Linked DNA regions of Macaca mulatta. The protein of the gene in region 2 purifies or fractionates together with the protein of the main gene of each other region. This does not show direct contact. Links are inferred from orthologs where the notes say so. Each region holds a gene or a part of one and is shown on either strand. Other genes may lie near its edges.

Region 1 (4,235 bases), on a different chromosome or scaffold from region 2:
ACCTCAGATCAGAGTTTCTATGCTGATCATAAAATTGTTCAGACTTGCTACCAAGAACTTGCATTTTGTTTCTGCTTGATTATTTCCAATCAGAAATCATGTTGTATCATTGGTAGTTACATCATTTTCAAGAAAGTGAAACTACTCATGTATTCCTTTAACTGGAAATTCAGCTCCCAGATTTTTATTTCCTAGTAGCTACAGCTACATTGAATTTTCACTTTTAATTTTCATCCTCTTTCCACTAAGCATTGCTCGCTAACCATCTTATGTTACTAGGAAGCCAATACTGGCCTTTCACTAACTCTTCATATCTTGGTCTTCCTCCCAGACCTCTTGAAGATTGTAGGTGCAAAGCTGGGCATCAAGGGCCAGAGACAATGTTTCTGAACCTATCAGCGCCAATCACAAACTAAGCACTCACCAACAAATCACTTAGGCTTTCTGGGCCTCTCATTCTCTTCCTCTGTAATTTGAGATCAAAACTGCCTGCCCCAAAGGGCTGTTAAGAAGGATATATGAGATTTACATATACACTGGGTAGTCATTATTACTGTGACTCCATCTTCTCCATTTCAGGAAAAACTCATTCTGTTGTTATCAATTCAACAAAGCCCTGTTAGTGAGGAATTAACTAAAACCTTCAAGAAATTCAGGTCATTCAGAGCCTCTTTTGTACTCTGATTGACCCCAAGTTCTTCGCAGACCAGGTAGATGTCACCCCACTATTTGCTGACACCAGCATTTCTCCATTACATATTTGAAAGAAAACCAATTCTCACTTAAAAACCATTTCTCCCTTGGAAAGCTTCTGTGGCATCTTGACTATGTCCTTCCTCCTCCCCTGGCTGGGTAACACTTGAAGCCACTGGCCTTGTCCCATGCCCAGCCAATTTTAAAAAGAAAGGAATCATGGACTCTATCTAATGGAAATCACACCCTCTCAATATTAGAATCATCTAGGTCAGATTTTCATTTTGTAATGAGTACACTGGTCCAGGGAGGTAAAAATGACTTGCCTGAGGTCATAAAGCTGGTGAGTGGCCCATCCCATGCCAAGCTGCTGACCACCCACCAACTGCTCATTTTGCTCCATCACCAATAGGTATCACCACCTCAAGGGATCAACCAACAAGGCAACCAGAGAACAGAGCCATTAGCCAGGTAGATAAGGGGTCAAGAGTCCTGGCACTTGGTACCAACCACAGAGGAGACTTTGACAGGACTGAGATAGGGAGGGGCTATCGAAGAAAAGAGCCATGGAGAGAAAGGAATTCTATAATGGCTAAAGGGCAAGGAGGAAGAGAGAGAGAAAGAAGGCTCCCAGCACTGCCACAGATGCTGGGTGCTGTATCTTAGCCCCACTGCGGGCGTGGGGTGCTGCCTTCTTTGCTGTCTCTGAAACAATTCTGACAGTAACTGCAATCCTCACCACATCCCATCTTTGACCAGGATATCCTCAAAGCAGGAGCCTGTATGTTGTAGCATTATTCTACAACCAATGCTAACTGCAAAACAACGGGGACAGTAATACCAATTTTTTGCCTTCACTTTAAATTGTGGAGACAGAAACTTCGAACAGAAGATGTGACTGTCACCTACAACGAAAGGGGTACATTGAGAGAACATCCAGATTTTCTGGCTCTCCTTTTTTTTTTTTTTTTTTCTGGCTTCATCAAGGATTTAGTAACTATTTTATTTGTAAGAAAGCATATGTGACCTCTGCAATGAAATTAGGTAAAAGAAAATGTTTAGGAGGAAAGGAAGTAGATGAGAGACAAAAATGGGGATAGGAGGAGCACAGAAGGAGAAGGAATCCAGTGGAAAGAAAACTGGTGAGGGAAAAGATGCCCTGCAGAAAAGTCCCCTTTCCCCCACTGTCTGGACACCGGTCAATGACATTAGATAGAGACCCACAGCATTCAAGTCCCCTCACTGGCTCCTTTTCTTCCCACTACACCACCCTAGAATCTGAAAATCTCCAGACAGAAAGGACCTTAGCAGTTATCTGGTCCAACCACTGCATTGTGCCCTCCAACACGCAGAGGGGGCCGGTACTGCCCATGTGCCCCTATTTCCCGGCTCGGCATACTGAGGCTCAACGACATCGATTGCAGTGTAAGCGCTCAGAGTCCTGGCACTAGACCACAAAGCCATTCTCTCAAATATCTGCACAACTGGCTCCACACCCTCGCTTCCCCGCCACGGTGGGTCTCCCGCGGACCGGCCGAAGGAAAAGCCAGAGTGAGAGTCCCAGGTGTGTGGGAGTCCCGGGCTCGGGTTCCAGACACCAACCGGTGCCGGGAGCCCTTCCCGTCGTCCGCCCCGGGACAGCGCGACACCAGCGCTCTCCACTTCCAAACTTATCCCAGCTAACTTTTTCTCGGGGTTGCCTTCACGGTCCTGCCGCCAGCGCTCCGGGGTGCCCAGGGCGACCCCCAGCGGCCGCGCACGCGACGCCGCCCGCCCTCCTGCCCCTTCCCCATTCATTCCTCTCCGCGCGTGGGGCAGCCCTCCCGCAAGCCTCCCGCCTTCGTGCCTCTCTGCCAACCCCGGGAAGGATCGGCTCCCTCAGTGCCGTGTCTCGAAGCGAGGGATGCAGCGGGACGGCGAGCTGGGCAGCCTCGGACACCCCAGCGCACCCGCCCACCCACCTCACGCCCTCTCCCAGCCCCGCAAGCCAGCGCCGTCTGCGGAGAGAAGCGGCGCTCCAGGCTGGCGGCAGAGTGGACGCCAGACCTCCGTCACCAGGAACCTTTCGCGCCCCAAGTCAAAAGAGAAAGTTAGTTCTTTCGCTTTGCGGGAAACTTTTCAAAGCGCCGAGGAGCAGCGGTGGCTTAGAAGAAGTTAAAGCCAGAGTTATTTCCAAGCCGGAGACTGGGGGCGCGGATCTGGGGTGGGTCAGGGGTCGGCGGACTGGTTACTTAGAGGGGCGCGAAGGGAATGAAGGCAAGCCGCCCTCGTCGCGCTCACTCCCTTGGCTTCCAGCGCTCACCTCCAGGCTCCGCTCGGGGCGGCCAGGGTCCGGAGGACGGGCAGGGTCGGGACCGGGTCGGGCGGGCTGTTTGTCTGGCCGGCGGGCGAGCACCAAGGACTCACGGCCGGCGCGCGGGCTGAAGGGTGCGCTCGGGCGGCGGCGAGAGAAGAGAGCTGTGCAGTGCGCGCCTGGCTGCGTGCGACTGTGGCTTGGAGAGCGTTGCATCACCCCTTTTATAGCCCTCAGGCGGGCGGCGCGGTCGTTTACTCCGTGTTGCCAGTCCCGGGCTGACGTAATGCTATTAATAGCTTCCCGGGAGAACCGGCCGAACGGAGCGGAGGAAGGGGGTGGGGGAGGGGCCAAGGCGGGGCGGAAGGCGGGTGGAGATGGGGGGGCACTGGTGATGCAAGTTCGGGGAGGAGCCAGCCGAGGCGCGTTCCCCCAGCCTCGCTTACTGAGACACACACCAGCCCGCCCTCTCTCTCCATATCAGGACCGGAGTCGCCTGGGATAGCCGCCAGATGTGCGTACTCGCTGCTGCGTGTTCCAGGCATGACCAATGGTGCCCAAGCCAGCGGCATGACTCCACCGCGCTGGCATCTCTCCCTCCGCTAGGTTGAGGAGCGGGGGGGCGGGGAAGGTGGGGAGGCGGGTCCCGGCCCCAGCCCAGACTAGGTGAGGCTGGGAAGCGGGCACGACCTTTCTCTAAAATGCGTGGTCATTTTCTGGAGCTTCAGGAAAATACCCCCTCCCCCACTGGCCTCCTACTTCTCTAGCAGGGACAGAATAGGGGCAGAAGCGTTAGTCTGTGATGTGGGGAAGGTGTCCAAAGTCACTCTTCGGTGTATCCACGCCATTACCCGCCGGGTGTGACCTCCGCGGCGGGGACCGCGAGAAGCCCGCCCGTTAACACAAAAGCGGAGGGCAGCCCTCTGCTGGCACCGTGCGCCGGAGCCCACGGCCCCGGACCCTCCACATAGACGCACACGCAGGACAGCTCCGGGCTCCGAGACTAGGGCGAGTGGTAGGACCGTATCGGTTCGATTTTTCTTCTTTTTTTTCAATCACAAAGCGTTTGAAATTGACAAGAACGTCTCAGTGAAACCAACAAGAGCGTGAAAAGATCGGAGTCCCGGAGGAATCAGAGGCAGCCCGGTGGGAGCGTAGGAGGGGGCGGAAGCCAGTGGCCAGGACTAGGGGGAAAGAGAAGGTGCTTTGGGGTCCGCGAACCTGCCCAGGCCTGGGGGTCGCCCCGCTC
Region 2 (4,015 bases):
CTGGTCGGGACTAGCAGTCCGGGGGCCCAGGCGCGCCCTGGGTCCTGGCAGATACTCGGGCTCCCCACTTCTGGCTCTGGGCCCCAGGACAGCGCTGGTCCCACCTCTTCCTGTGCCCTAATATGGGCGGCGGGGAGACACTCCGGGGGCCGCCCCGCCCTCAGTCCTGCCTGCGGACTCCCGCCTGTTGCCATGGCGACCAGGCCCCGCTCCTCGACTGCGTCCCCCGCCGTCGGGCCAATGGAACAGTCCCATGTTGCCTGCCTCCGCGGTCCCCTGCAGGCGCCGCGGGCGGAACCATTGCTTGAGGGGAGAGGATGGTGGCTGGAGGCTTCCGTGGCTGGGCAGGCTCCACGCACCCGGGCCTCCGCGGGGGCTCGCACGCCCAGGTTCCTCTTCCGAGGCGCAGGATGCGGTGGGACCCAGGGCGGGGCGCACGGTCCCGTAGGATCCAAGTGACGGAGACAGGGCCGGGCTCCTTCCCCCGGGGCTGTTGCCACACTTCCTGCCTCGGCGCTCTTTCCCCAGCCTGTTTCTAAGGAAGGGAGTGGGGTTGGGCGACCGCGCCCCAGCCGTCGGGCTGGGTCCAGGCTCCAGGAGCCGACACGGTGTCGGGCAAAGCCCAGGGTCAATAGGGGAGAGTTTTAGGATGGGGGACAGAGAATACAGATGCCTAGGAGGTTACCCACGAGGGGGAGCACCAGTCGTGGAAGATCCAGCAGTCCTGGTGCGCAGGACCCTCAAAGCCCCCTCCTCGCATGTCAACTGAGTACCCTCTTATTGTCTTCTCTGCTCCGAAGATGTGTCCGGACCCTTCTGACTCTCTCCTTCATCCGGGCTTCGCAGATGACCCCAGTGGTCACCAGTTTCTGGCAGACTTGTCTCCATCTTCTACCCTGCATATTTTACCTGCCTCAGTGTACCGCAGGACGCTTACTCGCTTTCTGCATACCTAGATTTCCCCTAATTCCTCCTTCCCAATTACGGGAGAGCCCTCAGACCTTCCCATGGGCTCCTGGACCCTACTCATTTCTTTCAATTTAATGGGTCGTGCAGCTCCGCCCACTCACCCCTTTTGATCTCTCCCCTCCTCCATCCTGTGAAAATTCCAGCCCCGCATCCTTCTATGCTCGGGACCCCCAGTCAATTCCTGGGTCAGGTGTCTCCTTACCCCTCCCGATTTACCGTGCTTAACCCTCATTCCTGCTTTTTGGGGTCTCCCAATGAATTGTCCTACCCCTCTCGTATTCTGGGTACCTCAGGGGTTTCTTCGCACACCCTGAGATCCTCAACCTACTTGCTGCGTACCAGGTCCTGGTATTTGTCCCAGTGGACTTCAATGAAATCATCCTCCTCCCTGAAACCCCTCACTCATGTGCCTGGGCCCCCAGGCCTCCTTCCATGCGTACCCCGGGGTCCTTTGAGCCCCTCCCCCTGCAGGCCCGCCGAGCCACCCGGCCCGTGGCCGCTGTTTACAAGGACACGCGCTTCCTGACAGTGACGCGAGCCGCCTCCTCCCCTTCCCCACGCTCGAAGAGGGGGGCGCGGGGGCCCGGCTTCGGCGACGGCCAATCGGAGCGCACTTCCGTGGCTGACTAGCGCGGTATAAAGGCGTGTGGCTCAGGCTGAGCGGCTGGGACCTTGAGAGCGGCCAGGCCAGCTTCGGAGCCAGCAGGGAGCTGGGAGCTGGGAGCTGGGGGAAACGACGCCAGGAAAGCTATCGCGCCGGAGAGGGCGACGGGGGCTCGGGAAGCCTGACAGATCTTTTGCGCACAGCTGCCGGCTGGCTGCTCCCCGCCCGCGCCAGCCCCCGAGAACGCGCGACCAGGCACCCAGTCCGGCCACCGCAGCGGAGAGCTCGCCGCTCGCTGCAGCGAGGCCCGGGGCGGCCCCGCAGGGACCCTCCCCAGACCGCCTGGGCCGCCCGGATGTGCACTAAAATGGAACAGCCCTTCTACCACGACGACTCATACACAGCTACGGGATACGGCCGGGCCCCTGGTGGCCTCTCTCTACACGACTACAAACTCCTGAAACCGAGCCTGGCGGTCAACCTGGCCGACCCCTACCGGAGTCTCAAAGCGCCTGGGGCTCGGGGACCCGGCCCAGAGGGCGGCGGTGGCGGCAGCTACTTTTCTGGTCAGGGCTCGGACACCGGCGCGTCTCTCAAGCTCGCCTCTTCGGAGCTGGAACGCCTGATCGTCCCCAACAGCAACGGCGTGATCACGACGACGCCTACACCCCCGGGACAGTACTTTTACCCCCGCGGGGGTGGCAGCGGTGGAGGTGCGGGGGGCGCAGGGGGCGGCGTCACCGAGGAGCAGGAGGGCTTCGCCGACGGCTTTGTCAAAGCCCTGGACGATCTGCACAAGATGAACCACGTGACACCCCCCAACGTGTCCCTGGGCGCTAGCGGGGGGCCCCCGGCTGGGCCCGGGGGCGTCTACGCCGGCCCGGAGCCACCTCCCGTTTACACCAACCTCAGCAGCTACTCCCCAGCCTCTGCGTCCTCGGGAGGCGCCGGGGCTGCCGTCGGGACCGGGAGCTCATACCCGACGGCCACCATCAGCTACCTCCCACACGCGCCACCCTTCGCCGGTGGCCACCCGGCGCAGCTGGGCTTGGGCCGCAGCGCCTCCACCTTTAAGGAAGAACCGCAGACCGTGCCGGAGGCGCGCAGCCGGGACGCCACGCCGCCGGTGTCCCCCATCAACATGGAAGACCAAGAGCGCATCAAAGTGGAGCGCAAGCGGCTGCGGAACCGGCTGGCGGCCACCAAGTGCCGGAAGCGGAAGCTGGAGCGCATCGCGCGCCTGGAGGACAAGGTGAAGACGCTCAAGGCCGAGAACGCGGGGCTGTCGAGTACCGCCGGCCTCCTCCGGGAGCAGGTGGCCCAGCTCAAACAGAAGGTCATGACCCACGTCAGCAACGGCTGTCAGCTGCTGCTTGGGGTCAAGGGACACGCCTTCTGAGCGCCCCCTGTCCCCTTACGGACACCCCCTCGCTTGGACGGCTGGGCGCACGTCTCCCACTGGGGTCCAGGGAGCAGGCGGTGGGCACCCATCCTGGGACCTGGGGGCGCCGCAAACCACACTGAACTCCCGCCCTGCGCCCAGTCCTTCCACCTCGACGTTTACAAGCCCCCCCTTCCACATTTTTTTGTATGTTTTTTTTCTGCTGGAAACAGACTCGATTCATATTGAATATAATATATTTGTGTATTTAACAGGGAGGGGAGGAGGGGGCGATCGCGGCGGAGCTGGCCCCGCCGCCCGGTACTCAAGCCCGCGGGGACATTGGGAAGGGGACCCCCGCCCCCTGCCCTCCCCTCTCTGCAACGTACTGTGGAAAAGAAACACGCACTTAGTCTCTAAAGAGTTTATTTTAAGACGTGTTTGTGTTTGTGTGTGTGTTTGTTCTTTTTATTGAATCTATTTAAGTAAAAAAAAAAAAATTTGTTCTTTATTAATTTCTGTTGTCTTTTTTTCCAAGCTGGGAGGGCGGAGGGAAAAAAAAGCACTGGTGTGCCCCCAGCTCAGTGCTGTTGGTGGCTCGGTCCTGTATGTGTCCCCCTCGTCGGCTCTGCGCAGGCATCTTGTGGTCCCAACCCGGGAGTCCCACCCTTCCCGCGTCCCCGAATCTCCAGGGTTGGATGGTTGGGGCGCGGGACGCAGTCCAGGGACACAGTAGCTGAAGGCAGGGCGCTGGGGGCGAGACGCGGAGCGCGCAGGCGCGGCCCCGCCCAGCAGTGCGCGCCGGGGCTTTCCCCGCTGACGCAGCGGAAGCGTTGCCCATACAAGGACCGATTCTGCCCAGTGACGCGACCGCGGTCTCTGGGCAGATTCCGGGAATCCCCTCCCCCGCTCTGCCGGGCAGGGCCGCAGCGCCGGGAAGGGGGCCGGGATTTTCCCGGGCAGGCGGCTGCCCGGGCACGGAAAGCCCCAGGCCTGGGTCCAGAGGGCCCGCGGTGGGCGGGCAGCGCTCCTGGGCCCCGGGAGCCACCTCTGTGCTACCT

The links.
Region 1: the proteins of JUNB (region 2) and ATF3 purify together in Homo sapiens (affinity purification with mass spectrometry; 3 studies listed by BioGRID and IntAct, counting the BioPlex papers as one, with this or other methods). This does not show direct contact. The link is inferred for Macaca mulatta from reciprocal best matches to the Homo sapiens genes JUNB and ATF3.

Annotation. Positions count from the first base shown.
Region 1 is NC_133406.1:70,340,108-70,344,342, reverse strand, and holds the start of ATF3 (cyclic AMP-dependent transcription factor ATF-3), read right to left. Parts: upstream 3,069-4,235; 5' UTR 2,996-3,068; intron 1-2,995.
Region 2 is NC_133424.1:13,345,840-13,349,854, forward strand, and holds JUNB (transcription factor JunB), read left to right. Parts: upstream 1-1,627; 5' UTR 1,628-1,928; coding exon 1,929-2,972; 3' UTR 2,973-3,469; downstream 3,470-4,015. UniProt on the Homo sapiens protein: Transcription factor involved in regulating gene activity following the primary growth factor response. Binds to the DNA sequence 5'-TGA[GC]TCA-3'.